Lepisosteus oculatus: one gene and its partners. The protein of the gene in region 1 purifies or fractionates together with the protein of each later gene. This does not show direct contact. Links are inferred from orthologs where the notes say so. Each region holds a gene or a part of one and is shown on either strand. Other genes may lie near its edges. The genes, in order: CXXC-type zinc finger protein 1, setd1a, ogt.1 and bod1.

The links.
Region 2: the proteins of CXXC-type zinc finger protein 1 (region 1) and setd1a purify together in Homo sapiens (affinity purification with western blotting; 16 studies listed by BioGRID and IntAct, counting the BioPlex papers as one, with this or other methods). This does not show direct contact. The link is inferred for Lepisosteus oculatus from reciprocal best matches to the Homo sapiens genes CXXC1 and SETD1A.
Region 3: the proteins of CXXC-type zinc finger protein 1 (region 1) and ogt.1 purify together in Homo sapiens (affinity purification with mass spectrometry; 3 studies listed by BioGRID and IntAct, with this or other methods). This does not show direct contact. The link is inferred for Lepisosteus oculatus from reciprocal best matches to the Homo sapiens genes CXXC1 and OGT.
Region 4: the proteins of CXXC-type zinc finger protein 1 (region 1) and bod1 purify together in Homo sapiens (affinity purification with mass spectrometry; 4 studies listed by BioGRID and IntAct, counting the BioPlex papers as one, with this or other methods). This does not show direct contact. The link is inferred for Lepisosteus oculatus from reciprocal best matches to the Homo sapiens genes CXXC1 and BOD1.

What each region holds. Positions count from the first base shown.
Region 1 is NC_090697.1:75,676,859-75,684,917, reverse strand, and holds the start of CXXC-type zinc finger protein 1, read right to left. Parts: upstream 3,059-8,059; 5' UTR 2,850-3,058; coding exon 2,847-2,849; intron 2,159-2,846; coding exon 2,028-2,158; intron 690-2,027; coding exon 589-689; intron 53-588; coding exon 1-52. UniProt on the Homo sapiens protein: Transcriptional activator that exhibits a unique DNA binding specificity for CpG unmethylated motifs with a preference for CpGG.
Region 2 is NC_090699.1:15,682,626-15,690,467, forward strand, and holds the start of setd1a (histone-lysine N-methyltransferase SETD1A), read left to right. Parts: upstream 1-4,492; 5' UTR 4,493-4,826; intron 4,827-7,194; 5' UTR 7,195-7,203; coding exon 7,204-7,341; intron 7,342-7,842. UniProt on the Homo sapiens protein: Histone methyltransferase that catalyzes methyl group transfer from S-adenosyl-L-methionine to the epsilon-amino group of 'Lys-4' of histone H3 (H3K4) via a non-processive mechanism.
Region 3 is NC_090703.1:46,134,915-46,142,852, forward strand, and holds the start of ogt.1 (UDP-N-acetylglucosamine--peptide N-acetylglucosaminyltransferase 110 kDa subunit), read right to left. Parts: upstream 3,477-7,938; 5' UTR 3,111-3,476; coding exon 3,074-3,110; intron 2,497-3,073; exon of another isoform or gene 2,422-2,496; intron 2,249-2,421; exon of another isoform or gene 2,161-2,248; intron 550-2,160; coding exon 369-549; intron 1-368. UniProt on the Homo sapiens protein: Catalyzes the transfer of a single N-acetylglucosamine from UDP-GlcNAc to a serine or threonine residue in cytoplasmic and nuclear proteins resulting in their modification with a beta-linked N-acetylglucosamine (O-GlcNAc).
Region 4 is NC_090706.1:27,680,904-27,688,506, reverse strand, and holds the start of bod1 (biorientation of chromosomes in cell division protein 1), read right to left. Parts: upstream 3,098-7,603; 5' UTR 2,892-3,097; coding exon 2,754-2,891; intron 2,279-2,753; coding exon 2,154-2,278; intron 1-2,153. UniProt on the Homo sapiens protein: Required for proper chromosome biorientation through the detection or correction of syntelic attachments in mitotic spindles.

The DNA of each region.
Region 1 (8,059 bases):
TTCTCCCGGCTCTTCTTGAGCCGGTACTTGATCTCCAGGGAGGAGTCCTTCTCTGAGGAGGGGAGACAGGGTCACACTGACTGACCGACACCCCTCCTTTCAGGCAGTCAGGCAGAAGAGAGCTGACCAGTGACAGCAGCGTGATCCAGTCCAGGTTTCACCAGGACCTACAGCAACAGCTGCACTTCCAGCCCGTGACCTCAGAAAGAACGAGCTCGTACGCCATGACGTTAACGTACGTCTACCTTTCGGCACCGGCTGTGCGGTTCGCACACTGAGATCGGCCTGCAGCTCACAGCAAAACCCGGAATGGACCAACCTGCTGTGCAATACGAGACAGGTCTGTTTCCCCACAGTGTCTTCTGAACAATCAGTAACACACAACCAAAACGTTTTAAAAAAATCATCCAGCCTGGAGCCCCGGATTTCTAAATTACTTTCTGTAGCCTGGATAAAACAGCCGTGTCCCTTCCCATGACTTCACAACACAGGGAACCTGAACTACACACAAGGGTCTCCGACACGCCTGAGCCTCGAGGCTGCTCCCCGAGGGAGAGTCCCCCAGAGAGAGGAGAGGCAGGTCCTCACCCCGGCACTTCCCGCAGTACCACTCCCGGATCGCCTTGGCCATCTTCTCCGTCACGTTGATGCAGTTGCCATGGAACCACTCGTTACAGCGGTCGCAGCCGCTGCAGATGAGGAGATCACGCATGGCACACACAGATGGACACGCATGCACACACAGGGCCATCACACGCACACAGATGGACACGTGTGCAAGCACAGAGCCATCACACGCACACAGACGGACACGTGTGCACACACAGGGCCATCACAAGTACACAGATGGACACGCGTGCACACACACGCATGGCACACACAGATGGATACACGTGCATGCACAGGGCCATCACACGCACACAGACGGACACACGTGCACACACAGAGCCATCACACACACACAGACGGACACGCAGACACGCAATCCAGATGCACAGGAGAAAGAAAAGAGAAGAAAACACCAGTGCAACAGTCAGAAACAAAAATGTGAGCTCAAACCCTTACACCAGAGGTGACGAACCCTGGTCACCCAGGCCAGCAGACTCTATAGGTCACCGCTAAGTCACCCATTTCTCAAGATTAGTCAAAATTTCACAGTAATGAATAGAGCAGGACATTTTGAGATAATATAGGACCAAATCACGTTTCTCTCAGTCTCCACGGACCACAGTATTGTTAACTGATTAATTATTACATTAATGTTACCAAAGTCTAAAGACCTAAAAGACTACTTGACTGGGGCTCTCCAGGACCAGGCTTGGAGACCCCTGCCTGACACAGTGCACAGTACCAAGCTGTGTCGTACAGGAAACCTCTGTACAGACCTGCACTCTAACACTGTGCACATGGCCAATATTCTGTTATAAACTGTTCCATAGCTGTTCAAAACTTTTGACAATACCCTTGTAACACACCTCGCCAACAAAGCCCATTTTGAATTCTCAATCTCAGCAAGCACAACTAACAACAACAACAACAACAACACAAATTGACTCGCAAGTTTATGTTTCTTCTAGACTTCCTAAGATATTGAAAAATAAAAAGGGAGGCTTTGTCTAGGCTGTGCAGCGTGAGTGGCAGAGGGGTGCGTCGAGGCTGTGCAGCGTGAGGGGCGGAGGGGTGCGTCGAGGCTGTGCAGCGTGAGTGGCGGAGGGGTGCGTCGAGGCTGTGCAGCGTGAGTGGCGGAGGGGTGCGTCGAGGCTGTGCAGCGTGAGGGGCGGAGGGCTGTGTCAGGGCTGTGCAGCGTGAGGGGCGGAGGGGTGTGTCCAGTCTGTGCAGCGTGAGGGGCAGAGGGGTGTGTCCAGTCTGTGCAGCGTGAGGGGCAGAGGGCTGTGTCAAGGCTGTGCAGCGTGAGGGGCGGAGGGGTGCGTCGAGGCTGTGTGGGTGACAAGAGTGTCGGGCGGTGACGCCCAGAGGCCACGAGCTGGGGCGCAGGCAGGAAGCTGCGGGCGGCGGCGGGCTCTCACATCATGAAACAGTTGATGTCGGGCTTGCGGCAGATGCAGTAAACCGGCGCGTTCTCTCCGTTCTCCCCATTGTCGCCCTCCATGCTGCTCTCGGCCCCGGGGGCCTGGTCCAGATCCGACACCTCGCTGTCCTGCAGGGAGAGAGGAGGACAGGTGACCGCGCTGGACTCCCCTGGCCGCTCACCGCCGTGAGACCGAGGGAGAGGGCTGCCAGTGCTCTTGCAAACGGTCAGCCATGAGCAAACCAGAGCCCCCTAAAGCAGAAAGCCTACCAGCGCTCTTTGCTCGCGGTTCTGTGACGGGTGAACAATTACAGGGCTACAGCATCACACCACCTGTCTGACTGCACACGAAACAAGCGCTAACATTACTTTGTTTCTAATGTCTGTCAGTTATTTAAATGTGAACAGTTCGGTCGCTCAGCTAAATATCGCTTCCAACTGCTATGCTACCGTTCCAACTGGCCTATCACAGCAGCCAACAGTAACCGAACACAATATCTGATCCGAAAGCACGACCTTTTTTCTAAATGTGAAACAAAACAGAGACCAAATGCAAATCTATGAGCGATGCGTTCACGGGCACTAACGTATAATACAGATTTTCAAGAGGAAAGGACTCCCCGGTTGCGGTCATGCTGTGATCTACTTTCAAGACGGGTTGAAACTTTCCAATTTAACATTTAACGAAGAAAGGCGACCTGGTCGTTTTACGTAAAAAAAAAAGATTAGCTTTAAGAGCGGAAAAAGAAACGTGTTTTTCACAGCTGTAACTACAGAGAAACGAATCGTTTCAAACTATGAAGCTCAACCACCTCACCATCGCAGGAAACACGCACGGCCGCCTCTTCCTTCTTCGGATAAAGAGTAAGAATGATGAAGTAAGGCTATTAGCAGGTAAAGAATAACCAATAAAAAAATAATAATCGTCGCAAAAATCCCCCCCTTTCACTCAAAATAAACACAAAACGGGCTGTCCCGACAGCCTCCTGACTTCCGCTTCCGGTTCAAACCACCCGTCTCCCCACACAGACGTATTGCCAGACTGCTCGTTTGGAGAACCGTTGGTGTCTCTTATATCAACAGAATATACTCCTAAGGGGAGAAAAAAATGTGTTTTTTTTTACAGACTGTGGTTTATGATTTCTATTATGACGAATGAACATGTTTCTATGTTTCTATATGAAGAATGGGCAGCGGTAAACACCGCCCTCTAGTGGCCGGAGGGTGTATGATACCAGAGCCTGCGGGAGCGCTAGGCTGCGCCACCTGGTCGCCTCCGCTCGGCCGAGCTGTCGGACTGGACACTGGCCTGGGACAGCCGGCAGGCGGCCATGACCACATAACATAAACGCTAATTGCGTGCAGAGTAGACTAAAGCACATTAATGAGCAGAAGGACAGGAAGGTGAATAATTATCATAAGCATTCTTCCTTTTTATTAGGATCCCAGTATGCAACGCAAATCTAAAAATCTGCTTCTCAGCTCTAGATTTATTTTCTTGCTTGTTTGTGTGCTTATACAAAGACGCCTTTTCATATTGGAGTTCCATCTGAAAGTATTTAACAGTTTGTACTATTCTTGTGTATGGTATGACCATTCTACTGTTCTGTTACCGTGACAGGACTGTTCTCCTGTACTGGGACTGTAGCCCCTACTGTAACAGGACTGTTCTACTGTACTGGGACTGTAGCTCCTATTGTAACAGGACTGTTCTACTGCACTGGGACTGTAGCCCCTACTGTAACAGGACTGTTCTACTGTACTGGGACTGTAGCCCCTATTGTAACAGAACTGTTCTACTGTACTGGGACTGTAGCCCCTATTGTAACAGGACTGTTCTACTGTACTGGGACTGTAGCCCCTATTGTAACTGGACTGTTCTACTGTACTGGGACTGTAGCCCCTATTGTAACAGGACTGTTCTACTGTACTGGGACTGTAGCCCCTAGTGTAACAGGACTGTTCTACTGTACTGGGACTGTAGCTCCTATTGTAACAGGACTGTTCTACTGCACTGGGACTGTAGCCCCTATTGTAACAGACTGTTCTACTGTACTGGGACTGTAGCCCCTATTGTAACAGACTGTTCTACTGTACTGGGACTGTAGATCCTACTGTAACAGGACTGTTCCACTGTACTGGGACTGTAGCCCCTATTGTAACAGGACTGTTCTACTGTACTGGGACTGTAGCTCCTATTGTAACAGGACTGTTCTACTGTACTGGGACTGTAGCTCCTATTGTAACTGGACTGTTCTACTGTACTGGGACTGTAGCTCCTATTGTAACAGACTGTTCTACTGTACTGGGACTGTAGCCCCTATTGTAACTGGACTGTTCTACTGTACTGGGACTGTAGCTCCTATTGTAACTGGACTGTTCTACTGTACTGGGACTGTAGCCCCTATTGTAACAGGACTGTTCTACTGTACTGGGACTGTAGCTCCTATTGTAACTGGACTGTTCTACTGTACTGGGACTGTAGCCCCTATTGTAACAGGACTGTTCAACATATTACTGTAAATTGTAAATGTATAGTATTTATTTATAATACTAATATTTATTTATAATAAATATTGTTACATTACGCGATGTGTAGGTTACTGAACATTTAGTACAAGCGGTAAATACAACACCTTTACGTCAGTTCAAGAATTGTGACCCACATAAAGTTCCAAATTGAGTCCGCAGTGAAGATACAGTCTTGTATATAATTCCTACGAACTGGGTTATTCCACTGTTAGTTTTTTTACTGTAACCCTGTAGCCACCAAGATGAATAAATAGAATTCGAAGATTCAAAACAGAAAGCTGTCTTTTCCGAAATGATGGACTACAGTCCTTGCTGTGTGTCGTGCAGAAATCAGCAGTGCTTTAAAGCGGATCGTGAGAAATCAGCCGCAGTTTAAATTTGAATCTGAAATCTGAGCGCCGAGCGAGAGAGGGAGAGGAGTCGGAGAATGTGTCTGTGTGTGTGTGTGCGAGAGAGTGTGTGTGTGTGTGAGCGATAGTGTGTGTGGAAGTGTGTGTGTGAGAGAGGGACGGGCTCTGTAAAAAGTTCTGGTTGCCGCCTGGAGTGGACACAACAGTTAACCTGTTCGGACGGTTTTCATCTGGCGCCTAACCGCGCGGACACCGGACGTGGCACTGACCGCTCAGATTCCTTAATCTTCGTTTTTCAAGAAACACAATTCGTCCTGTTTTCTCCTCCGCTGTTAGACGCTTCCACGGTCTAAGACTGGCTCTAATTACGCTAAGGTAAGATCGTGATGTTTTACGGATTTAACGCGCGACAGATTAAACACATTACAGAGATTTTAGCTGTCATATTTGTCAGCCTTGACTGTGGTAAATTGTGCATCATAACTTGATACTAAATAATTGTATTTTATATAGCCCCTTTTGAGATACACAATCTTTGGGCGTTTTGTCATAGGATCATCAGCAAAAGAGTCATAAACAAATAGACCTTAAATCTATAGTATTGAAGACATACATTCTTATACAATCTCTATATATGTTGTTTGTTTTCTTAAAATGTCGTTTAGCTTAACGTTTTGAGTTTTTAAAGTGAACGTAGTATGCCTGGAACTGACACTTCAAGAAAATCTAAAAATAAAATAAAAAACATTATTTCCTCCGGGCGTACTTACTGTACATGTTCGCCCTAAGCGTCGGCTGTAACTGAAAATGCTGCAACACGTTAAAATGCCAGCTTCCCTGTGTGTAGAGGAATATGGTTTCTTATTAAAATCTTCCATAGAGCCTTAACCACCGGAGGAACAGCCCGGGGACCCGATACTACCCTGGCACACGAGTAAATAGAAAATGATTTCCACAAACGCTTGTTCTGTTGGGTCAAAACTCGTGGGGTTGAGTCAGTCGCGTTCCTGGGGGACAAATTGGGATTCTCGGTTTGTGCTTTTCAGCGGGGAGTCGCCGATTCCCACTTAAATCGGTTAATTTTCTCAGGAGAAAAAAAAAACTAGTTCTTACTTAACTGTCTAGAATGAGTCATCAATTCCCCGGCGGGGTTCCCGCTGCCCGGAGACAGGGGGGTCAGCGCCGGTCCGTTCGGGACCCGGAATGTGGGTCTCCGCGGGTTGTGCTCGGGTGTCGCTCTCAGGGACATTTTTCTCGACACGGACCTCGAACCCGGTGTTACCCGCGCCTTTCGGAGGGACGCGGCTGGACTACACCGGGTGCCAACAGCCTCCCTGCGCCCCCCTCGCTCGGTTAGTGCCCTCTTCAGTGAACAGCAGCGGCCTGTAGTCTCCAACGTCGCAGCTTGTGACCCGGGCAGTGCGCTCGGCCTTGCCGGGGGGGGGGGGGTGTTTGGAGAAAATCCTGTCATGTTTCGTCATTTCGTGTAGAAATGGCACGTCTCTCCATTCCTGGTTCCGAGCGCACGGTGACCTTAGAGTCGGAGGGGCCATGAAGGATATCAGTGGTATGTTATTCAAATCTGACCTTTAATTAATGACAAAATATTACCTTCGATGAATGTCAAATCGTTACCACTGATTCGTTTTTTGTTACCTCAGCGGTCCTGAAATGAGGAGGACCTCAGGGAGCTGGTCCTGGGTGCGCAGAAGGCCGAGACTCACCGGTGTTTAACGGTACTACATTAGCAGCGGTGTGACCCGCCGGTCTCTGTAGGCGACGAGGAATCTGCTGGTCTCGGTGGTGGAGTTTTTGCTCTCCCTGTGAATCAGGACCGGTGTAAAACGAGTCGAGGTCTAGACGTGTTGTTTCTCTTTCCACCGGCCTCACCGGAACAGGCCTCTGTCGCGACCCGTCAACGGCACCGCCGAGAAGCCCTGCTGCTGTACGGGTCCGTTCGGGACGGGACCCGGACCGGACCGCGTCACAGTTGTTGTTGTTGTTGTTGTTGTTGTTGTTTAACTACAGCTGTTATTCCCAGTTCTGTCTATAAGTCTATAAGCCACACAACACTGTCCCATGTAGAGGCGTACACCGCGTCTTTGTCAGGTGTACCGGTTCTTTCACAGCGGGGATATTTTCTGATGCGGGAACAGATCCGATTTTCCGGGGTGTCTGGCTGGCAGAATACGGGGGCACGGGAGTGACCAGCGGTGCATGACCGTTTTTCAGGGGGATACCCCCACTGACCTGCTTTTCGACACTTCAGGCCCGAGACAGTGGCTTGCTCGTCCGGAGGCGTGCGGAAATGGAATTCGCCGCACAGTCAGGGTAACTCGCAGGGGCCAGATGGACAGTATCTGTGATTTGTATTAACGGACGAGCCCGGGGCAGAAGGATACAGCGCTGCTGGGGAGAAGTTTATACCCTGAGCGAAGCCCAGTCTGCAGCCCCACGAGCAGTTCGCACGCTGACACACTGCTACAGTTTGTGGTGAACGAGTGTTTTAGTCAAGGTTAAGACCGCGTTTCCAACCATGTGACTTTATTTTTTTGCACGGGGTTTTTGGTGATTTTTATTCCCGAACAAATCAGCAAAGCGTAATTATTAACATCGATTCGTTACCTCAGCAAAAGAAAAACAAAACAAGAACAAGGTCCAGCGTTTGATTAACAGCTGGGGTCGACCGGTGTCTTGCATCCCCCGGACAGAGTTCGGAATTGCTGTCTTGTTCTGCTCCGAGTACTGTAAAAAAAATGACCGATCAACCGCAAACACGCAGAAGAGCACTTGAAAGCGAGGCCAGGAAGGACGTCTTTACACACAGGGTTGTGGGAGTTGGGAACAAACTCCCCAGCCGTGTCGTTAAAGCCGAGGCCCCGGTGGTTTTCAAAACACCTGGAAGAGATCCTTAGATCAATTAGGAAACTGGGCTCCTCTGATTTGTACCTTTTCCTGTGTTCTGAACACGCCGTGCGGAGTCGACATTTTAGTTCGCCAGCCGAGCTACGACTGTCTCGTCTCACATGTGATTAATCTAGTTCATCCAGTAAAAGACGTGGGGTTTTGTTTTTTTCTTACTGCGCTCTGACATTACCCAGAAAGTCCGAGCCCGGAGACTTTCAGGTGTCTATGAGAGGCTGACACC
Region 2 (7,842 bases), on another chromosome or scaffold:
CACCCCGCGGGCACAGCTGGACACGGTCTGAGCACCCCGCGGCCACAGCTGGACACGGTCTGAGCACCCCGCGGCCACAGCTGCCCCCCCGCGGCTCCTGGCGAGGGAGGGGGCTGGGGGGATGGGTGGAGGCGGAGGGAGGGTGAGCCAGGCGCTGTGTGAGGAAGAGGGTGGTTACATCACTTCCGGTTCAGCTCCGTGCAGGGAGCACGAATGCAGGGCTGTTGCCGGGGGACTGTGCTAGTAAAGGCATGCCACACGGGTTCGAATCCTAACCTTGTAACCTGCACCTCCCGACAGCCAGCCTGCCGGTGAAGCAGAGGAGCAGTTCTTTTAGGGATGCGGGCGCAAGATGGGTCACAGGCAAGAGGAGCCTGTTCGGGCCTTTTGGGTTGTTGATCCCAAAAGCCAGGGTATCGCCTTGACCAAGCTGTCCAGTACTGCTGTTCCACACTCCCGCCACCCTGTGTGTAAAGCAGAGCCTCCTGTTCTCAGTTTTTAATGCATTGACTGTAGTTTGAACCTTTGTCCGCTGCCGAGTTCTGAGGAAGCTCATTGGACCGACTCTGTCAGTGTCGTTGAGGATTGTGAGCATGTGCATCAGGTCCCATCACATCTTTATGGCAGTGAGAGGCATTACAGCCCAGCTGGGGCTGGAGATCCTCAACCCTTGTAGTGGGAGTCCTTATTCCACCAGCTGTAACCTGCAATTCGAACCCGGGCCCAATCTGAGTGCTTTGTGAGGAAGCCCGGCTTCTTATGGCGATTCATTGACGCGGCAGAGAGACTCAGCAGGACACAGGGTTTGCCATGACCCTGGGTCATTCTGCGTGGAGCCTGCGTGTTCCTCACAGACCTGAAGAAGGCTCCACAGCCTAAACGTTTTGCTTCATTTCTTTGCTTTTCAGCATGGAATGAACCTTCCCTGTTCCTGTGTTCCCCCCCCACGCCTGCTCTCCATCACTCGTTCCCAGTGTGCCCTGCACTGGCTACGAGACGCCGACACTGGAACAGGGGCCGCATTAGGGAGGGCGGTTCTTTAACGAGGGGGTCCACAAAGAAATTCATCATTTATATATCGCGCGGAACGAAAAATGTATCGTTGTATGATATCAGTGCGTACGATTCAATATATTATAAGTGGTTATACATTAGTGGATGGGGACAGCATGGGGGTGCAGTGGTGAGCGTTGCTGGGGCCCTGGGTTCAACTTTGGACCTGGAGTGCTGTCTGTGTGGAGTGTGCATGTTCTCCCTGTGTTGGCGTTGGTTTCCTGCAGGTGCTCCAGGGCCATCTAGTGGCCGCAGTGAGAAATGGCCAGTCCCAGGTTCCCCGTGCCCTCCCTGCCCTCTGGCCTGAGGGGGGGGGGTGGTCGAGGAGGCGTCGGGCTGCGAACCAGCTTGCAGGAAGAGGAAGGGGTCAAGGACAATTAGGTGGGCTGCGGGGGTCCCCACGACAGACGATCCTCTCGGTGGGTGGCGGCACCCCTGTCTGAGCCCCGAGCGTCACCCGGAGACGAACTCCTCGTTCCCACAGGGAGCGCCAGGCCTCGGGAGCTACCCCGCCTCCCTGTCTCTTTCCCTTTGTGTCCGGTCTTGTAAATATCCCCGGCGCTTTTTTCGTAATTAAATATTATATTTTGGAAATAGAAGGTGGCCGTGTGTCTCGTCTCTTCCTCGCCTGGGCCTGTTGGGGGCACACACTCCGCCTTCCCCCGAGACAGACACAACACTAGGCATGACACTGAGCAGGCTCAAACACTGCAGGGGCCGCCTCCTGCGTCACGCAGGGCCTGACGTAGACGCTCGTGGGGTATCAAAGTGTTGCTGGGAAGTTTAATTATGAGTGTGTGTTTTGGGGGGTGGGAGATTTTAAGTTCAGGAATGTTTAATGACTTTTCCAGTTTTACCCAGCTGGCCCCAGGCCCTGGTGCCGAGTCTGGAGGGGTCGTTATCTCTTAATTAACTTGCACAGTCCGAGTCAGCAGCAATTGAGAGCGGTGGAGGTCAGCAGTCGGGAGCTCAGGCGACGACACGCCTCCTCCTCCGGGCGTGACCGCTTCTCCGGGAGCAGGGATCGGGTATCCAGGACCCTGGCGGGTATTTTGGGATCAGAATTCCCCTCGCGCTGCTTCGGCCGTCGACTGAGCGCGCAGTGGGAGAGGAGGCGTCTCGAGGAGGCCGAGACCAGCTGATCCTGTTGTTATTATGGTACTCGGGATTAAAGCTGCTGTCCTACCAGGCAGAAACTGAAGGGGCCACTAATTCATCCGACCGTTTTCCGACTGCTTCCGATTCAGGGTCACGGGGGAGGTATAACCTAGACCTGCAAGGAGCATGTGCAAGGCAGAGAGCACCCAGAGGAGACCCATGAGAACACTGTGAGATCATGCAAACTCCACACAGACAGCACCCCAGGAGCTGAACCCAGGGCCCCGGTGCTGCAAGGCAGCAGCGCTCACCACTATACTAATGTGCCACTTATTTCAAATATTTGAATTATTCATACGAGTAAGCCAATATGTGGGTCAAAAGTTATATATATATATGCTTCTTTATCATATATATAGCTGAATACTCGTGATAATTTAATGTCCAGATGAAGGCTTGTAAGTTAGCAATGCAATATTCTAAATTTCAGTGTGCCAGGAAAGGACTGCAGCTGCTGTTGAGGTTGAATTTGATCATGTGGTGAATCATAGAGGCTTTTGAACTGCCAAATGATACAGAGACCGACTGCAACCCTTGTGACACTTGTGAGAGCACACTGGTGATCTGTGACACGATGATAGGCCTGGGCTTCGTGTACGTGTATGAAATACTATAAAGGTAAAACTCATGCTCAGGTGCCACATTCCACATTCACAGATGCCACTTAGCTTGCCAGTATGTCCACAGTTCCAGAGCCGGGACAGGGAGAAAGGCAAGGACGACAGCAGGAGGCAGGGCCTGGAGGGACTCCGTTTGTGCCAATCCAGCCCCAGCAACCACTTGCACAGATTGGAAAAGGACAATCAGCCTTTCAAAAGCGTTTGCAATATACTGTAGTAGAGGTTGTATGACTTGTCGGGAGTGTGTACTCATTGTAAGATGTCTATTGTGAAATAAAGTTTAGTTTGTTAGAAAGAAAATGTCTTTGGGCTGTGGGAGCAAACGGAAGCCACAGGAGGAAATCCACACGAACTCGAGGAGAACGTGCAAACTCCTCTCAGACAGCACCCCAGGGCTGGAACTGAAAGCAAGGCCCCAGCCCTGCGAGGCAGCGATGATGACCACTAGCACCGGTGTCACCCACAGCTCCCCCCTCTGGACTAGCAAGCGGATCGATAAAGGCATGAGCCGCGGAGACGCACAGGTCAGCTGCGGGGGACAGCCGACACTGTGGGAACGCCGTGCCTTTTTCATCGAGAAGAATATAGTTCACAAGCAGACGATGCTACGGCAGTAAATCCACTTTCTGTACACATTTATTACACCTAGTTTTACACGTACATCGCACACAGCAGTCCCAACGCTGATATTTTAAGATAAATTTAAACGGTTATGTACGGCACAGTTATTATCTGTCCATAATCCAAGTAAGAAAAGTAAAGAAAACTCGCCGGGCCTATGGGTGGACGATGACTGTTGCTCTTAACAGAAACCTGACTACAACCGAGTGCGTGAACCATCAGATTACTGCGATGGCGCTCAGAATCAACCGCCGACTATAGAGATCTAACCTGTGTTTTGTCTTTGTTCACTGGTCTTTTTGGATACCTTTTTCTCCCTTGTTAGTATGGGTTGATGTTAAATACAATTTTGAAGAAAAAAAAACTATAGCAACCTTCCGTCACCTCCGAAAGTAGGTGACTCCGGTTCAGGTTAAAATAGCGTTCAATGGTTATTAAAATACATGGATATATAGATAACACTGAGTCGTTATAGATGCTTCTGCATTAAATTCACTTTCAGACACAAAGACTGTTGTCTTGTTGCTGTGTTGCGACGGCGCGCCAACGATAGGAGGTTTAACTGCAGTTCATAGTATTCACATCGACTTATTTCTGTCTCGTATAATTCACACAAGGCGCTTCGTATAAAATAAAATGTTTAAATGGTTCCCGAAGCACTGAATTTCACACGTAGCGCTCAAATACGACAACACAGCAACGTGTAAAAACATTCAATCCCACTTCCGGCCTGTAACCACGCCACTTCTCCACAGCTAGCTCGCCATTACAGTCGGCAGTTTCCACAGGCATGCTACTGTTTTTAAAAAAGTATTATTAAAGCAAACGGTGGTGTTCTCACTCTTTTAGAACATAGCACTTCCATAACCGTCTCAATTTTATGGTAAAAAGTGTAAAAATGTAGGCCTATGCTTCTAAACAAAGGAATAATACAGGTCCTCTTTGCGTCTTTCCATTTGAGTTGTAGTGTTGAAGACTACGAATCAGCTGATGGGAATCTCTTGTTAGTTTATCTTTTGTTTGTGAGGGGGAGCGCGAGCTGTTTGCGCAGTTCCGATTGAGAACACTTAGTTCGAGATCGAAAACGGCAGATTCACCAAAACTGCTAACGCTAATAGGCAGAGAGAAGTAGTGGCGGAGTTCGCTCTTGTTGTTATTTATATTTATCACGCCTAACGAAGGCCGTAAACCGGACAAGAAAACATCTGTGTTTTGATAGAAAGCAAGGACTCTAGTGATTCCGTTTTTATTTTAATGTATTTTCCCTTCCCTGCCTTCTTGTGCACTGGTTAGCAGACAGACGTGTAGAAAGTGCGACTGCGGACACAGGGATGTAATTCGCAGTGACTGATGGAGACCAGGCGAGGTGTTCAGGTCAGTACGCGGCCGCCTCTCGGCTAATTTTTTATCTCCGTTTTCCGAAATAAAAAACCGCTTCCCGTTTATATTTCTGCTTGGGGGTCACATATCCGAGAATCGGAACATTAGCGACGCTCTTAGCGGCCGAAAAGGCGGGGAGTGGAGTGGAAGGGGTGGCGGTTTTTCGGGGTACGGCGCTCTGTGCGGCTCCCGTTCGGGTGAGGCCTGCGCCGGAGCCGCGGGCTGGGAGTTTGAAGCGAGCCGATTCCGGGAGCGAGGGCGCCGGCCTGGCAGAGGAGCCGAGGCCCAGTGGAGATGGGGGAGAGGCGGGAGGGTGGATGCGGGTGAGAGGACGGAGAAGGTAGGGCATCCCGTTGTTCGCTTCAATACCACCTTCATTCCCGGGATTGAACGCGTGCCATTATTTTCGGGGAAGTTTGTTGTTCTGTGAAGTCCCGCCCGTGACGGTGAGCGCCGAGTCGGGGTAGCGACAGCCCGAGCTCGGGGTCGACAGTTCTACTCCCCGGGCCGGTCGCACCGCCGGACACCCGGGCAGTCCCGGGCAGCACCGCGGGGTCCCACAGCCGGAGCCCCGGGGCGGGCTGACCGGGTCAAGGTGCTGGGTGTGAGGTACCCAGCGGCGGGTGATCTCCGCTTCATTTTCCCGCTGCCGGAGACTCCGCTCCAGCCCGGTTAGCGCAGCGAAGGCTCCCCGAGGAGCGCGTTAGTCAGTCCAGGGCCCGGGTGGCCCGCAGGCGAGGACCAGCGTGTTGCCGTCCCTGGTGTCCGGAAGCGGGAGACGGTGCGCTCCTCCGCGGGACACAACAACACGCTCGCAGGGGGCGGCGCGCCGGGCGATCCCCGGTCCCGCTGGGCGGACTTCCGGACAGGAGCGCACGGGCTTTATGTGCTCTTACCCCGGTACGTAACCAGTGAGGACGCGTGTACGTCCAGGTGTGTGCTTGACTGGCCAAAATATTAGGATCCCCCGGTGGAAGAAAGCGTCGGGCTGCAGGGCTTCAACTTGAAACTACAGGCCGAGCCCAGAGTGCGGCGCACGAAAGGGCGGTTCTTTTTTATTATGCTGTTTGGGTTAGTGGTGCCGGACGGGTGGTTCTGTTGTTATTGTGCAGTTTGGGTCAGTGTCAGACTGTACGTTCTGTTGTTATTGTGCAGTTTGGGTCAGTGTTGCACTGTTAAGTTCTGTTGTTATTGTGCAGTTTGGGTCAGTGTCAGACTGTTAAGTTCTGTTGTTATTGTGCGGTTTGGGTCAGTGTCGCACTGTTAAGTTCTGTTGTTATTGTGCAGTTTGGGTCAGTGGTGCTGGACCGGTGGTTCTATTGTTATTGTGCAGTTTGGGTCAATGGTGCCTGACTGCTGGTCCTGTTGTTACTTAGCTGTTTGGGTCGTGGTGTCAGACTGTAAGTTCTGTTGTTACTGTGCCGTTTTGGGTCGTGGTGTCGAACTGTAATTTCTGTTGTTACTGTGCTGTTTGGGTCGGTGCTGCTGGACCGGTAGTTCTGTTGTTATTATGCTATTTGGTCAGTGGTGCTGGGCGGGCCTATTGTTACTGTGCTGTTAGGGTCGTTGGTGCCGGTCGGGTAGTTCTGTTGTTAATCTACTTGTTGGGTCAATGGTGCCTGACTACTGGTCCTGTTACTTAGCTGTTTGGGTCGTGGTGTCGGACTGTAAGGTTTTTGTTATTGTGCTGTTTGGGTCGTGGTGCTGGACCTGTGGTTCTGTTCTTACTGTGCTTTTTGGATTGGTGGTGCCGGACGGGTAGTTCTGTTGTTATTGTGCTATTTGGTTGGCGGCGGTGGTGTGGGTGTGGTTGTGATTCCACGGGGAGTGGTGGGGTGGATGCGATACTGGGGGCAGTGTTGGTGGTGTGAGTGTGGTTGTGATGCCGGGGGTTTGGGTGTGATGGCGCGGGGAGCGCTGGTGTGGGTTTGATGCCAGGGGTGTGGGTGTGATACCGGGGAGCGCTGGTGTGGTAGTGATGCCGTGGGGAGCGCTGGTGTGATGCCGCGAGGAGCGCTGGTGTGGATGTGAAGCCGCGGGCGACGGTGGTGGTGGTGGTGACAGCATCAGTGTTATCCTGAATGGTGGTGATATCAGACGCCTTTCTGTTTGGGGAATTTTCTGTCACTTCTTCTGAGATATAGGAATGTGAGTTCTGTTGAGCCAGTTGGCGTAGGCAGGGCAGGGAGAACTGGAATGTTATTGGGTAAGACGGTTGCATGTGTTGAGCTTGTTGTTGATAATCGCTTCAGTGCTGCTCACAGTGAGCCTTGGGGGGACCAATGAGTTATGCTAATGTGTTACTAACCAGGGTCAGGGATTCCTCACTGAAGCATTGTTCCTCCCTCCCTGTGCTCAACAGTGAGTGAGTATGGATCCAGACAGCGGGGCAGACACACAGAGAGCCCTCAATGTCCAGTGGAGGAGCTACAAGCTGATTGTGGATCCAGCCTTGAAAAAGGTTTCACAGAAGATCTACAGATACGATGGAGTCCACTTCAGCGTGCCGGTTAGTGTCGCCCTTCCGGCGTTTACTGATGGTGTGTGAGAGGTGTCAGTGACGACCTGCTGGTGGCGTCAGTTTCTGTGTGTGTCAGTGACCATGTGGGTGGAAACCTGATGACAACAGGAGTTGAGTGTGTTAAAGTGACCGTTACGTTCCTACAACTCGGGGTTCAGGTGAGTGCTAATTTACCAGCAGCCATATCACCCTGCAACTCACAACTGGCAACCCACTGAAGCTAAGCAGGTGTGAGCCTGGTCAGTACCTGGATGGGAGACCTCCTGGGAAAAACTAAGGTTGCTGCTGGAAGAGGTGTTAGTGGGGCCAGCAGGGGGCGCTCACCCTGCGGTCCATGTGGATCCTAATGCCCCAGTATAGTGACGGGGACACTATACTGTAAACAGGCGCCGTCCTTCGGATGAGACGTAAAACCGAGGTCCTGACTCTCTGTGGTCATTAAAAATCCCAGGGCGCTTCTCGAAAAGAGTAGGGGTGTAACCCCGGTGT
Region 3 (7,938 bases), on another chromosome or scaffold:
CTCTAAACCAGCATATCAGTCCATACAATGTCCAATTGATAACAAAAATGAAACATCTAGAGCCCGATTCTGGCTTCATACCAGCCTGCAGGTTGTGAAGCTCGGATGACCCCACCGGAAAGCACCAGGGGGTCCGTTTTGATTCCATATGGAACAGTGCAGCTCCAGGACAGCAGTGCACTTGAGTGTAGGGTTCTAAAATTCTGGTCCTGGAGGACCAGTGCGTCTGCAAGTTTTGATTCCAACTCGGCTCGTTAACGAGATAAAACCGGGGTTAAGGTGTCGCACCAGCCCCCCCCCCCAGGACCAGAACTGGACAGGTGCCGTCCCGTGCTTCTCCCAGCCTGCACTGGGGCCCCTGCCCTTACCTATCCAGCCGGCGGCACTGGAAGTGGATTGAGGAGAGCAGCAGGAGCACGCCGGTGTTGTCCGGCTCCTGCCGCCACAGCTGCATGCAGTGGCGCTCGGCCGCCTCAAAGTCACCGGACTGGTACTCCCGGTGCGCCAGCTCTGCCAACCCTTGGAAGGAAAGCATACGTTTTGTCGGTTCTGGAGCAGAGTCACCAACACAACCCGGGGGGGGGAGGAGGGGAAAACAACACGTTAGAACAAATGGAGAAAAAAAAAATCAAACATGAAAACAAAGAATCTAAATAAAAAAGCAAAAGGTTAAATGTAGAACATTCAGTAAAACAGGGTGTTAAAACTTAAAATGAGGATGAAATGTTCTGAAACATAGAACAGCAGTGATCTGGACAACTTTAATGTTATCCAATGTCTTACCTGCACAGCTATATCATGCTCAAACACATTTTGCCCAGTTGGAACAATCCATGAAACTACCCAACTTTTTTTTTTTTTTTTTACATCAAGGCCGTTTTATGGCACAATTTTATGTTGTTGCCTTTAGAAAGTACTAATGGAGCTGAAACTCAAATTTGGTTTCCATTAAACCTCATTCTTCTTCACAAATTGTACACAGCACTTCAATCAGAAGTAAATTTTAATATGAGAAGCAAAACACAGTCCCCAGAAAATGTTTAACGGTTGCCAATTTCACAGGTTTTGTCAAATTACCTGAAATGCTGTTAGCACTATACCACCTTGTCATCTTACACCCTGGATCAACTTTAATACATTACATCAGAGATTTGCACATATTAACAAAATAAGGTTGAGGATAAAATGACCCAAAAATGAGAATGGAAATATATTATGTATACCGATAATGAAATGATGACAATACAGTGAACAAATGATATTGACAACAGAGGGTAAGCACACAGAAGAAGCCCTTTGCTACTGTGGTATATGGAGTTTACACAGATGGTGAGTGATTCCTTGTTTGCTCTATTCAGTACAAGCCAGATGGACTGCAGTCCACACCTTTGCAGAACCTAAACAGCTCAGGAATACATGGTTATACTCAGTCATACAGAGTGCATACTTTGTAATTAACTACAACAGCTGCTGCACTGAACTCAACACGGGTAATTAAGTAATTAATTCATTATCTGGGACAATAGATGCACACCAACAGGTACCAGAGGGATATGAACATGAACAGGTCATTTAAGTAAATTCTGAAAACTGAATGAGAAACCACCTAACTTGTGCGGTCTACATGAATATAAAAGAATTCTTCATCTTTCCAACATAGTAGTGTGATTTAATGTACTCGTTAGCTATTAAATATTACTTCAGTAGCTGTACAAAAGACGTACACCTCCACTAATGTTACACAGTACAGGACCCCCAGAATCACACTGCTGCTGGTTTCCAACTCAGCGCATAACTTAAACGAATCCTTAAACCTCACAATTTAAATCTGCTCAAAGGTAGGAGATCGTGGGTTACCTGCACAAGAAGGCAACTTCCACCATGATTATGAAGTAAAAACAATTCAAGAGTTCAAATTAATCATATTATGCTGCAGAGCTCAGTGCATAGCGCCTATTCTGAGCGTGATGTGACCTAAACCTGTAAAAAACGAAATCTGGCTGTTTTGTTCCACCTCTTAATTACCTAAATCAACTATTTAGACCCAATTAAGTGCTGGAGATTTAAAGAGATCTAGAGAAAATGAGCCACACCAGCACTTCAGGGACGATCCGATCTGGACGAATTAACGTGCGTATAATACCCGAGACAAAGGACGATTGGGAGGGACGTCTCGCTACTTTAAGCGCCTTTCAGTAAAAAGAAAACAAGACGCTCGAAACACACGCTTCTGCGCTATGCAAGCTCGGTGAGTTACTAGACGGTCCCTGGTTTGTCTAAACCCGCCAAAACGTTATGTTAAGCGAACTCGTGGGTGAAAAGGGCCGGCTCAACTGGGCTGCCGGACGCGAGGTGCACGGTGCCCACAAGCAGATTAACGACAAACTGGCCCTGGCGTGTCTCCACGCTTCTTCGTATCGTGTGGTTCTGCAACAGCGCAGAGGCCGCAGTCCAGCGAGCTGTCCGGCAGAGATGACGTCAGCGCTCCGTTTGCAGGTACTCGCACACACAAGCGAGGTTTAGCCAGCTAGTTAAACAAGCAGGCCTCTCCGGGTTTGTTTTTTTTACAGATTGTTCTGGCCATACTGTTTAGTAAGGTTAAAAGCCGCTGTACTGCAATGCCTTTTAGAAATACAAATACCACAGTTTCAAGTGGACTTTATCATAACTGCATTCATTTTCCCCCCCTAAACTCTGCTTCGACCTATGTCAGAGGGCTGTGCGAGTCGGAATCATTTTCACTGTTTTGTGCATCTCGCAATGAAGAAATGTCCAATTACACAATGCAGCCCCTGTTCTGGTTTCATGAACATCCATTCTCGTATCAATACCCCCCCGGTTTCGGGAGTGGTATATTACTAGTTTGTAAATTTAATCCCCATACAAGTCGAATTTAAAAGGGATTCGAACACAAAGCAACCGCTTCATGTCCAAAAAATTATTCCATCTCGTCTTTTACCTACTCTCCAGTCGTATGAGGCTAGTTTAGGAGAAGACCAAACTAAACTTTGCTGTTCATTCAATCTCAAGTTAATATTTAATTGAGCAAGCAAACGACAGAAGCCGTATTTACCTGTGCTGTCAGCCACGTTTCCAACTGAAGTCGCCATCTTCACAAGTCTTTTGAAATCGGAACAAAAATCGCTGTTAAAAATGCTTTGGATTTTAGTTTCTTCTCAAAAAAAAAAAAATTTAAAATTGACGACCCGTGCCGCGAATTCGCCGTGCGTATCGATCAGTAATGCCGGTGAGCTCGTCAACTACAAACCTAAAATAACACACGTTGACTCAGTCAAATGTTTGATATCTCTTCCCGATTTAAAAAAAATAAATATCGAGCGTTCGATTTTTTTAAATCTGACTGATCGCAATTTTTAAAAGGTGCTCTTTTATATTTGTAAACTTCTTTGCATAGACCAACAACCGCGTCGACAACAAAGCGGCTGTTCTAAATCCCGAAATGGCGGCTGCGACCGGGACTACTTCAACTGGTACAAATAGACCCCCTACGGAGGACCCACAGAAAAACGAAACAGCGGGACAACGGGAGGCAGCGTCGAGCCTTAAATGTCTAACGCTACGTAATAACAGATGTTTGTGGGAGGGGAACGAGAAGTTTCTCTCGGTTTGAAGCGGATGGAAAAATTCCCCCTTCGCGGATGTGTCAATACCAGAGACCGCTGTGTCTAGGAACTAGGCAGGGCTGTGTACCGATGCGCGGCAGCAATGCGGCAATGGGTGGGCCAGCCGGCACGTGGGGAGCCACAAAGCCGTATCTCGTACTGAACAGGATATGCTAATTGGGTTTTATGGAACTGTTCTTAGTCTAAATAAATATACATACTGGGCGGAGATCGCAAATGATGTCTTCTTCCAGAAAATCACGCAAAAAATTTTCAAGTATTTTTTTTGGCACCAATGTCAATTCATAATAAAAAGGCCCAGGGAAACGCTTTCGAGATGTCGAAAAATATGCCAGTGTATGTCTATTTTTTTCGACTGAATCCTGTATTTAGTTCTGTACATAAACTTCACAAATACAGCGAGGACCAACCAAAGGGTCTTTTAGCGTTCGTAGCAAATAATTCCTCACAGCCGAAACGTTGTTTTCTTTCTTCTCTTTTCAGCATGGAGTAAACCTTTACCTGTTCCTTTGCAGAACTGGTGACATACTGGGATATGGGAATTCCAACAGAATCGTGTCCTAATGTACACCCAGCAACAACTATCTCGTTTGTGTCTTGTTAGGACAAGTAGTGTTCGAGTTCATCTTCGGACGATTTCATTTTTAACACGTTCACAGCCCGCCGCACCGGGACAGAGCCGCAGTAGACGCTGTTGTGGTGTTCCAGACAAGCCCGTCTAGTGAAATCTACCGTTTAAATGTTAAGGCTTTGATTCTCAATGCATTATTGATCAAATAAGTGTCTTTATTTAATGAGGATGGTCTTCTCTTGCTCCGGGGCTTAAAATCACAAAACCAGCTTCCAGGTTCCTCTTTCAATCTGCACTTGCGTCTCTGAGCCGCAAAGCGTGCCTATGGCGCGCCCCCTGGCGGGTGAGACTGTCTACACACCCTACTCGTGATGTGTTGGATACCTTTTATTTTTATTGCCGACTTCATTTCAAAGCTTAACAGCAGTTACAATTTGGGAAAAGGCGATGTGCCGGAAAATGTAAGTATCTACGCCAACACAGAAGTTCTACCTCCCAACATCCTAATGGTTAATGATCTACACACGGTCAGGTCATGTCTGCCCAATCCTGTTCCCGGAGGACCAGTGTCCAGTTCTGTTTCATTAAAACTCTGCTTTTAACAACGTAAAACAGCTCGTCAACTGGACACATTTAGCTTCTCAAGTGTTGCCGTTCTAAAGACACTCAGAAAACTGATATATAGCTGATGTGTGGGGAGCGTTCTGGCGCACTATGGCTGCCGTCGCATCATCCAGGTGGATGCTGCACATTGGTGGTGGTGGAGGGGAGTCCCCATTACCTGTAAAGCGCTTTGAGTGGAGTGTCCAGAAAAGCGCTATATAAGTGTAAGCTATTATTATTATTAAAACCTGAGACCACGACGGTCTTCCAGGTTAGGTCATCGGATGTGGGAATTGTAATCTGAACAGTATCCGTCTGCAGCTCTAATCGGTAGTGTCGCGTGTTCGCCACACGAGGTCACTAGTCGAATTGGTGAAAAACCTTCACATTATGACAGTTTAATCTTTTTTTTTTTTGTTGTTGTTGCTCCATTTCATATCAAAATGTTTACAACCAAGAGAGGGCTTCTCAGGCTGTCTTGCCTGTTCTGTTTGGATTCATGCATTTCATTACTCTCGACCCTCCTTTTTTTTTTTATAGGAGTCCTCAGGATCACTCTTCTTTGAGTAAAGATGTCTCCTCATAAACACGGGGCCGAGAAGTCTGAGAGTTAGGGCATCCCCCTCCCCCCCACACCGTCTCGGTGTTTATTTTTCCCAGAAAAGAGTTGGGGTCCCTAGCTCCAGCAGGAGAGAGAACACACTCCCTCTCCCACCTCCCCGTTCTCCTTCATTAGCCTCTCTTTCTGTGTCTTCTTCCTCTGTCCCTGCTCCCTCACCTCTCTCGTCATCCTCCTCCGGTGCAGCTCCTGTTCCCCTGCTGTTCTGCGTTCGGACTGAACCCCCCCCCCCCCCCCCCCGGTCTCAGCGTGATGAGCTTGCCCCCGCATTCCTTCCTCTCCCGCTGGGAGACGGGCCGTTGCCCCCGGCGACCGTGAATGGCGGCCCAGGCGAGAGGAGAGTCGCCACGGTCACCATTAACCCCCAGCCACCCGGATGCCCCCCCGGTCAGCTGAGCACAGTGTATTTTAATTTGGGGAGAGGTTAGGCCTGCTGTGGTACCCTGAAATGCCCTGTCCTCTCTCCATGCCCTCTGTCCCCCCCCTCATCCTCCCTAAATATTCCCAGTCCCTCTACCCCACAGACCTTGTCCTTGCTGGCCCAATTCGGAATAGAGTGGAACCAAGAGACAGCATCAGCAATCCCATTGCATGGCTGTTGGAGCCGTTCCGGGTTTTACTAGCGACCACAGCAGGTAAGCGCGAGCTCAGCAGGTAAGGGGGGGCCGGGGATCTCGGCGTGCCGTCAGGCTTGGTCTCTGCGATGACGTCGCCCGTCTCCCGGCTGCTGAAGCCCCTGCTGGCCTTTCCCCGTGAGCAACCGCAGGGCAGGCCTGCGAGGGGGAGGGCAGCCCCCGGCTTTGTGTTGTGTCTGCGGGTTGTTCCCAGCTCCCGCACGCAGGGGCTGGGGCGCGGGAGGCGAGAAGAGCCCCACGGATTGGGAGAAGGAGAGGAGGGCCAGCCTGGCCTTCGGCCTCTGTGAATGTCTGTCAACACCGCCGCTTTCAGAGGGCGCTGGCTCCCCGGAGAGCCCCTCTGCACTTCAGCAGCCTGGCCCGGTCCGGACCGGACAGACCGGAGCCGCAGGGTCTTTCTGCCACAGGTTTACACGTTCCAGTTAAGCCACAATGACTCCTCTTCAAAAGTTCGAGCTCATTGTCGTTATCCTCCTCCACGGGTATATGGTAGGACGAAACGCTATTTAGCGGGCTCTCGGACGGTGAGTGGTGCAAACCACAAGACAAAGGTGCAAGAAAAGAGACCGAGGCAACGGGCAACGTTGACGTCCGATTTTGCACAACTGTTGCCGACAGAATGAAATAAAGGATACACAATTCTGGGGAGTAAACGTCTTGACACGTGAGGTAGAGGTAGATTTCGTTGTGCGTTTGAGTTTTGATCTAGAGAGAAGGCCCTGTAAGGGTTCAGATGTTAGGCGAGAGGCTGGGAGTTTGACAGTGTGGGGGTAAAAACTGTCTCCGAGTCTGGTGGTCGGGGCCTGCATGCTCCGGTACAATTTTCCAGGTAGGCAACAGCAGGACTGACTATATATAGATCCGGAGATACTTGTTTTTACTTGCAGGTATAGTTTTACTTCCCAGGGTTTTGTCAAATTTAACACCATTTTTCAGAGTTTTGAGGGGTGGTTCCTGAGCTCAGGGTCACCTATGGTGGTCTCTCTCTCTCTCTCTCCACCCCCCTGGGGCTTTTTTGGGGCACAGTGGACTGAACGAGCCCCCCTCTTTTCCCCGCAGTACAATGCCACAGGCTCTGGGCTCAGCTGGGCAGTAGTCCAGGCGAGAGTCTACTGGTGTTGTTTTGTGGGACATGCCCTGGTTTCTCTCTCTCTCTCTCTCTCTGGGGGTCAGAGGTCACCTGGCCAGTTTATCCACAAGGAATATTCCTACCCTTCTGTTAATACAATCCACTGTATCTTACTACAGCCTGTTTTTCATGGTCCCGTACAGTGCATCTGCGTGCGCTGTACGTCTGTGTTGTAGATGGACCACAAATCTGTTTAATTGATCAGTCTGTTTCATGGGGGGAAAAAGTCCCCTTTCAACCACATCAAAGGGTGGAGGTAATTCTGGTTGGGTGTAGTGCCTGCCTACCCCATTGACACCTGCTCTGTTGTTGTGGATAGGCTGAAACCCTTAGTGGTGTACATCACATGGCAGCCACTAGGGGGCATGCTGGAGTCACTGTCAACAAGCCCTCCTGTCCAAAATGACAGCTTCCTTATAAGAGAGCTTGAACAGCGTTCTGATTCCACTTTACTTACCCTGCACAGGTATTCACCTGATGTTGTCCAATTGACAGAATGAGAGGGGCACTGTGGGTTAGTGCGTCTGTGTTCAAACTCCCAGTCTAGGCCAAGGATATTCTCTGGACGTTGGTTCTCCCTTCAGGCCTGAGCTCAAGGAGGAACCTGAAGGAAGTGAGCCTTTTCAAACTCAAACATGCTGCTGTTGTAGGAGAACCCTCCGTCTGACACAGGAGTTGAGGAATTCCTTGAGGAATAGAAATTCAAAGTCCCCGCTTAAACCCTTTAAGACATCTTG
Region 4 (7,603 bases), on another chromosome or scaffold:
GCTGGAGCGCAGCAGGGTGCCGCCGCTGGGATGCGGGCGCTCACACACCCACGCACGAGCTCGCACAATCAAGGCGGGGGCGCTAGCAAGCGCGGACGTGGACTGAGTGGGCTTGTGGGAAGAGGCGGCCGCAGCTTGCAAATTCGGACCCCTCCCCCCCCCCCCCAACGAATACTAGGGCGCTCCAGACGCGCAGCAGCCCATCGATTATCTGATTCCCCCTCCCCCAAAGAGGGAAGGGGTCACAGGATTTTCAAAAATGATGGATAATCGGGTCATTTTTTTTAGGAGATTATCTTTTCACTTTCGTTAAGAACACTGTGCTTTGGGGTGCTGTGCATGTTTTTTTTAGTCTTTTGATTTTAACTGTAGACAAATGTTAGAAATATTGTAGGGAGTGTGAAGAAGACCGACACACCCGAAGAAGGTTCCACAGCCGAAACGTTGTGTTTCCTTTCTTTTCTTTTCAGCATGGAATAAACCTATTACTTGTTCCTTTGCAGCCTACGCATGCCGACGCAGCTACCCACCTGAACTATAAAAATAAGAGTACACACACACACACAAAGTACAGTACTGCAAAAACAGCACTGTACAGTATGCATTACTTCAGCTTGTCTAATGCAAAGCACAGTATATTTAGCTTGGTTACAGTGAGAAAGAAATGATTGTTTCACATCCTGCAATTTACTTTAAAGTGTACAAGTAAGGTGCAAGTCTGGAAATATAATGATTGTGAAATAAGGTCAGCATTAATACAATTTATTTGGTCTGCTGCTGGAGTTACTTCCCAAAACAGCGGACCGAGCGAGGGAATCACGTGTTTGTGGTTCAGATTGTTACATAAAGCCCATGCACTGCTCGCTAGCACAGCCCAACGTGGTGCCACACCGCTCGCCTGACACTGCCTTCAGCGCGGATTTCCAGCAAACAGCAAAATTACACGCCACTCTCTCCAGGTCAGCCATGACAGCCAGAAAATACAAGAACCAAGATTACCGGTCGTCGAATAATCAATGATCTCTGTCAATGTACTGCATTGGCAGACATAACTGAAATACAGAACAGTACTGCTTCTGGCTACTGTGAGACAAAACTGTGTTTTTTTGTTAAAGTTTTTTTTTAAAAGAAAAAAGGGAATACCTTAACAGACATAAAATGATTGCGGTTTTGTCAATTAAAAGGTGCTAACTGAAGAAAGGAAGAGAGGATAAACTGCTTAATTAAATTTCTTACCAAGACCATTCTTAATTAAACTTCTACACTGACTATTAGGAACCCCCACAGAATAATATGTTGGGCCACAGCAGGGTGTAGCTTGTATTCCATAAGGGTTAATATTTCCAGTCTGATGATTAATGATTGCATTTTTACTACAAATCATATTTTTTTTAATACGATATTGAGCTGGAGAATGTAACATGATCAGATCCTTAAAGCAGCACACAGCTCTCACAGGAGGCAATTCTGGCTCGGATGGTGGAAAGAGGGAGTGAAAGAGCAGTTGCATTCTGCAGTACCCTCCTGAACATGACAAGTTACAAACAAGAGGTGGCCTTTTGTTCCTCCTAGTTCTATTGGTTGATAGTACCTAATTGATCCAAGCATCTATTCCAGCAGTTTCTGCAGAGAAACCAAGGAATTGGCTTCAACAACATGTTTGAGTAGCCTGTTCCACACTCCCACCACCCTTTGGGTAAAGAAGTGCATCCTGTTGCTGGTTTTAAATGCACCTCCCAGCAGATTCCACTTGTGTCCTCTGATCTTGCTACTACCAATTCTGAACTGAGCGGAGGCTGAGGACATAACTTTGAAAGCCTTTTCTCCCCTTAGGAACTGAGCCGAGAATAAAATCCGACCTCAAAGGGAAAAAAAAGAGTGCCGCCAACTCACTATTTTGAAACCCGCCTCACAAGATCCGTTCTACATTTAACCCAGACGCGGATCATCAGCTGGGATACACCCACTGCTCCTCTGCAAAATGGCTTTCTTCTCCTCCCTCACCCCAAATGAATGGTCACTAGCTGACCTTTAAACTGAAGTGAAAAACATGACATCTTCTCACTTATCTTTCCCAGTCTCTTGCCACGCGAGCAACTGGAAAATCACCCCGCACACCACGCAGGCTGGGGTTACTGGAGGAAGGAACTCACTGGACCACACTCTGTCTCAGGCCATTGCGCACTTGGTTCTTGTTGATGGCCGGATTCCACTCCTGGCTGTTCAAGTGATTGGCTACGAAGTTGTCCACCTTCTGCCGCAGGTTCTGATAGGCGGGCTAGAGGCACAGGGGTTAAAAACACACACACACACAACAGGTCAATTTCTCGGTTTCCACCGCCATTCCTCCTTTGAATCACAGGCACCTAATATGAAACCGATAAAGTTTAAAGTCGCCCGAAAGTTTCTGTTAATTCTTGTGTTGCAATAATTCCTGGAACCTGCAAATTTCCTTTCGTTTAGCATTTTTTTTTGTATCCTGCTCAAGACTGATTTTGGCCTCCGTCGAGCTGAAAGCGTTTTACACTTTGCTGGCCGCTTTTCAACGTAAAAAAGCGTCAGAATACTGGCGTCAGCTCAATAAATTCTCAAAAACCGCTATCTGCAGACTCTATTCACTGATACCGCCGGATCTGAGAAGTCTAAAATCACAATAACGAAAGTCGAGGATTTTCATTTTACTCAAAGCCTGCTGCGAGTCGGCAGTAAACAGGCCGTGAAGTAAATCAAACTTTAGACAAATCCGAGCCCACCTTCGTGTCCACGTCTGCCAGGCAGTCTCTGCGGAACTCGTCGAACAGGCCCCGGTTCTTCAAGTGCTCCACAATCTGGTTTATGAGCTGCGGGTCTCCAGGCGGCAGGCTCGCTGCACCGGCACCGCTCTCCGCCATCGAGTTGGCGTGGCCGCCGATCCGAAAATAACAAATGCTCAGACAAGTACAGTAACTTTCACACACATACAACAGGAAAAAAAACTTATCTCGCAATACTTCGCTCTTTCTCTATCGGCGAAGGTTAACAAAGGAAAGAAAAACAATGACTGAACTGCAGTCTGGGATCAGTAGTTTGGCATCATCTGCTAAAAACGGAAGGCCGTCGATGGAAGAACTACGTGTCCCAAGCCGCACAGAGCGCAATGGCTGAGGTTCACTTCCGTTTTTAGGGGCGTTTGGGTAATGTATTTTTCCTCTGCTTGGGTCCTCTAGCAGTGCAGTATGGTCTCGTATAAAACTGTTTTTGGAGGAGAACGTCCAGTGAGATTCCCCAAAGGTTGGCCAAGCCTAACGATAGGAAACCCGTGGTTTTACTTTCATTTATTTTTAAGTATCATAATGGTCCAATGTGTGGTCAAAAAAACAATTATCTTCCAAGACGTTTAAAAATATAAACACACACCAGCATTTAGTCTTTAACAGTAAGAGGTGTTGGGAGTAAGTCTGAGCCCTTCCTTCCTAAACTTCCTTCCTTATTACCATTAGTCTTGTTTGCAGGAAGTGAGAGACAATTAAGCTTTTCATTATCTACTGCATCTTGAGCGGCTTGTGTCTGGACACGTAACGAGTCACGCAGGAATTCAGTCGGTGTGCCTTCAGCAGCGTATGTAACTGCCGAGCAGGCAGTGCATTGTCCACCGTGTTTGTGCAAAACACGAAAAGGTGATTGGCCTCCATCTTATGGACCCACTGCTACAAGTGGCTGAGGTGGGAAAATTATTCCTCTAAAATTCACTATTTGCTCTCTTCATTCAAGATAAGTGGCAGTCAGGGAAGCTGCACAATCCTGAAGGGTGCTGGAGCCTGAAGGAGCTGGCAATTATCAATTGTATCAAATACCCTGGAAAAATCTACGATGGAAGGCCTTCTCTTGATTTGGAGTGCTGAATTAAATAACTGTGTGGTCCAAAAAGTATTGCGGTAGCCTATACAGAGCCGAACGGTGTACTATAATAATAATTAATAATTGCTTACACTTATATAGCGCTTTTTCTGGGCACTCCACTCAAAGCGCTTTACAGGTAATGGCCACCACCACCAATGTGCAGCATCCACCTGGATGATGCGACAGCAGCCATAGTGCGCCAGAACGCTCACCACACGTCAGCTATCAGTGGGGAGGAGAGCAGAGTGATGAAGCCAATTCATAGATGGGGATTATAAGGAAGCCATGATTGGTAAGGGCCAATGGGAAATTTGGCCAGGACGCCGGGGTTACACCCCTACTCTTTTTTTTGAGGAACGCCCTGGGATTTTTTAATGACCACAGAGAGTCGGAGTCGGGTTACATCTCATCCGAGGACGGCGCCCGTTTACAGTATAGTGTCCCCATCACCATACTGGGGCATTAGGACCCACATGAACCACAGGGTGAGCACCCCCTGCTGGCCCCACTAACACCTCTTCCAGCAGCAGCCTTAGTTTTTCCCAGGAGGTCTCCCATCCAGGTACTGACCAGGCTCACACCTGCTTAGCTACAGTGGGCTGTCAGTTGTGAGTTGCAGAGTGATATGGCTGCTGGCAATATTGTTGTACTGTTGTAACCCGTTTTAACTTGTTGTTGCTGAATGCTTCAGAATGAAACTCTTTCAAAGACTCAGCAACTTCATACTCTTCTTCTCACACTGACCTCGTCTCAGTGGTTAAAGAAACTTGTTCCAGTTTCCATGGCAAAACCTCACAGTGACAGACCAAACTGAAGGGCCAGTGTGATGGTCAGTGTTATTGAGCCCCTTTGATGGTGCATTTTAGAAGGAACGGTGTGCGCAACTATCTGTTTAAATACTTACAGGGTGTCTTTTAACTCAGGCTACAGGGAAAATGAATCACGTCCTCACGGCAGAAAGCTTGCCTGGCTGATCTTACTGGAGTTAAATTAGGCCTGCGTTGCTGAGCAGGCAATTACTGAAGCATAGGTATGCTGGATTATTCTGTGTAGCTCCTGCATATTAAGTGTGACATTGAGAAACCTGCTCCAGTGAGTGAATGATTGTGTCTTTTGAAACTGTTAAAGGTATACCAGCAGGAAATGGAAATCCTGACAAACCGTTCTACTGTGAAATCTGAATGCCTGGGCTTACACAATCCTCTTTGCATGTGTTTGTTTTAAAGCCGCATCCTAAACTGTAATTCAGGATGCAATTTAAATGAGAAAATTAGTATGAGGTGTGATCATTCACTGTGCACGTTTACTGTCTACAGTAATATCTGCCTGCATTTGATTTAATATCCTCACCCTTGTCTGTTGTCCTGTGTTACTGTGCCTCCACATTTCTCCAGGCCTTCTCATCCTGTTACCTGGTGATTAGTACTTCTTTTCTTTCCTGCCTCTTGGCCTGATCTTTGCATCCCTTTGACTCCCCTGGTAGCCACGTACTATACAGAGCTTACTTCAACACATTAGTGGCCACAGTTAAGTTACGTCTATAGTTACAGCCAGTGTTCCACTAGAGGGAGCTAATTCAGTGGTTGAATCAGGTCAGTTCTTTAAACCTAAGATACACCAGAACCGTAGAGTAAAAGAGATAAAATCATATATTTGTTTTAATTTTCAGTGTAAAATTGTACACTTTTTTAGAATGAAATATTTACATTTTGCAGTAAAATGAAAAACACATGATAAAATTAGGCATGTCTCACACCCTCAGGGGTACCCCAAGATAACCACTGAATGTTGTCAATAATAATAATAATAATAATAATAATAATAATAATAATAATAATAATAATAATAATAATTGCTTACACTTATATAGCGCTTTTTCTGGACACTCTACTCAAAGCGCTTTACAGGTAATGGGGACTCCCCTCCACCACCAATGTGCAGCATCCACCTGGATGATGCGACGGCAGCCATAGTGCGCCAGAACGCTCACCACACATCAGCTATCAGTGGGGAGGAGAGCAGAGTGATGAAGCCAATTCATAGATGGGGATTATTAGGAGGCCATGATTGGTAAGGGCCAATGGGAAATTTGGCCAGGACGCCGGGGTTACACCCCTACTCTTTTCGAGAAACGCCCTGGGATTTTTAATGACCACAGAGAGTCAGGACCAATAGCCACACCAATAGGACAATAGCCACACCAGGTATTAGTTGGATTAGTGGTGATGATGTTTGAACTGGATTCCATACGTTCTCACATCAGTGTAATTTGCCTTGAGTAGGGTATAGAAAGGATGTGCATAGTGGTTGTAGTTTAGTAGTTTTTTTTTTCCCTTGTTGTTGTGTGAACCTGAAAAGGCCACGGCAGAGCCTCTTGAGCTGACTGGACTCTGTGTGGCCCACAAACAGTGCTCAATGTTATGGGCCCAGACTGGCAATAATCCTGGACTTGCTTGTCTACTTTAACATGAGGAGTCCAAATTCAGAGGTACTTAGGGTCAGTGAAACCAGTGTGTGCTTGGGGATCAATAGCCAAGGCGAGATAGAGCGTATCTGTATTTAATAGGTGTTCTTAGGAAACAAAGCCGAGACTATTTCTCTGACAACCTCCCAGCCACGCCCTGCTGAGATTTCAGCTGTTCAGGCTTCATTATTACGCAACAGGCAGACGGTGATTCCACACAAAAAGGTTTTTCATTTCAGTGTGAAATTAACCTCTGCTTGTTCCTTTCGTTCCTGGTCATCCCTGTCTTGTTTGAATGTTTGTGTCAAGTAGTGGTTTTGTGTTACTTAATTGTGTTATTTCTTGCTTATAAATGCAAGAAATTGACAATACTTTGTTGCCGCTGCTCTGCAGTATGTAACTCTTTCACCGTTTCTTGGCTCTTACAGTTCATTGTTCTGAACAAAAGCTGCCTTGCGTAAAGGTGTCTGCTCAATGTTACCACAACTATGATATACATGTACACAAAAAAAGGCAGAAACGGTGGCGGAGTTGAAACATCATTAATGGATACAGCCTGGTGAGAGATACTGAAGTAATCGAGGCTGTGTGTCAGCTCTGAGCTCAGAGTCAGCAGGAGGGCTTTTATTTAACACTGTGGTCTAAATTCTTTAATTGAAAAGAATCAGCAGGAAGTCACTTCCTATATGAAGTCAATAGCAGCCTCTTGAGTTTCCAGGGCCTGTTGCCAGGCAACTAGAGAAAGGAGCCATGGCGACATCCAGAAGAATAAAAAGCAAGAGGCCTGCAGGTGAGAGAGCTAGTTCCCAGGTAGATGCCAAACTTATCACTGTTAACTGATTCTTGTCCGTAGTGCTGTGTGGCATCCTTCTGGCTTTTATTCTGAAAAGCCATGTTTCCTGTTGTGACCTTTGACCCTTTGACATTATTTTTAAAGGGGTGGTTAACAAGGAGGATGTCCAAAGAACTATAGTAGAGGAATAAAAATCTGCTGGAACAATTCTCTCATTTTGCCTATGATGGCTGAGAATCTAGACTTAGAGAGGAGCTGATGTGTCATCCCGATCAACAAGTGCATATACAGTCTATGAGAACATCACCACTTACTGGGGTCTGTGCCAATTTTTTTCACTCCAGATCTGCCTCATTTCTGAAGTAACAGTCTGTGTACACTCATCCTCAGGTTTCCATAGGGCATTTGACTTTTTTTTTATTGTACAGCTTATTTTATTCAAACATTTTACGTAACAGTTCTAAATA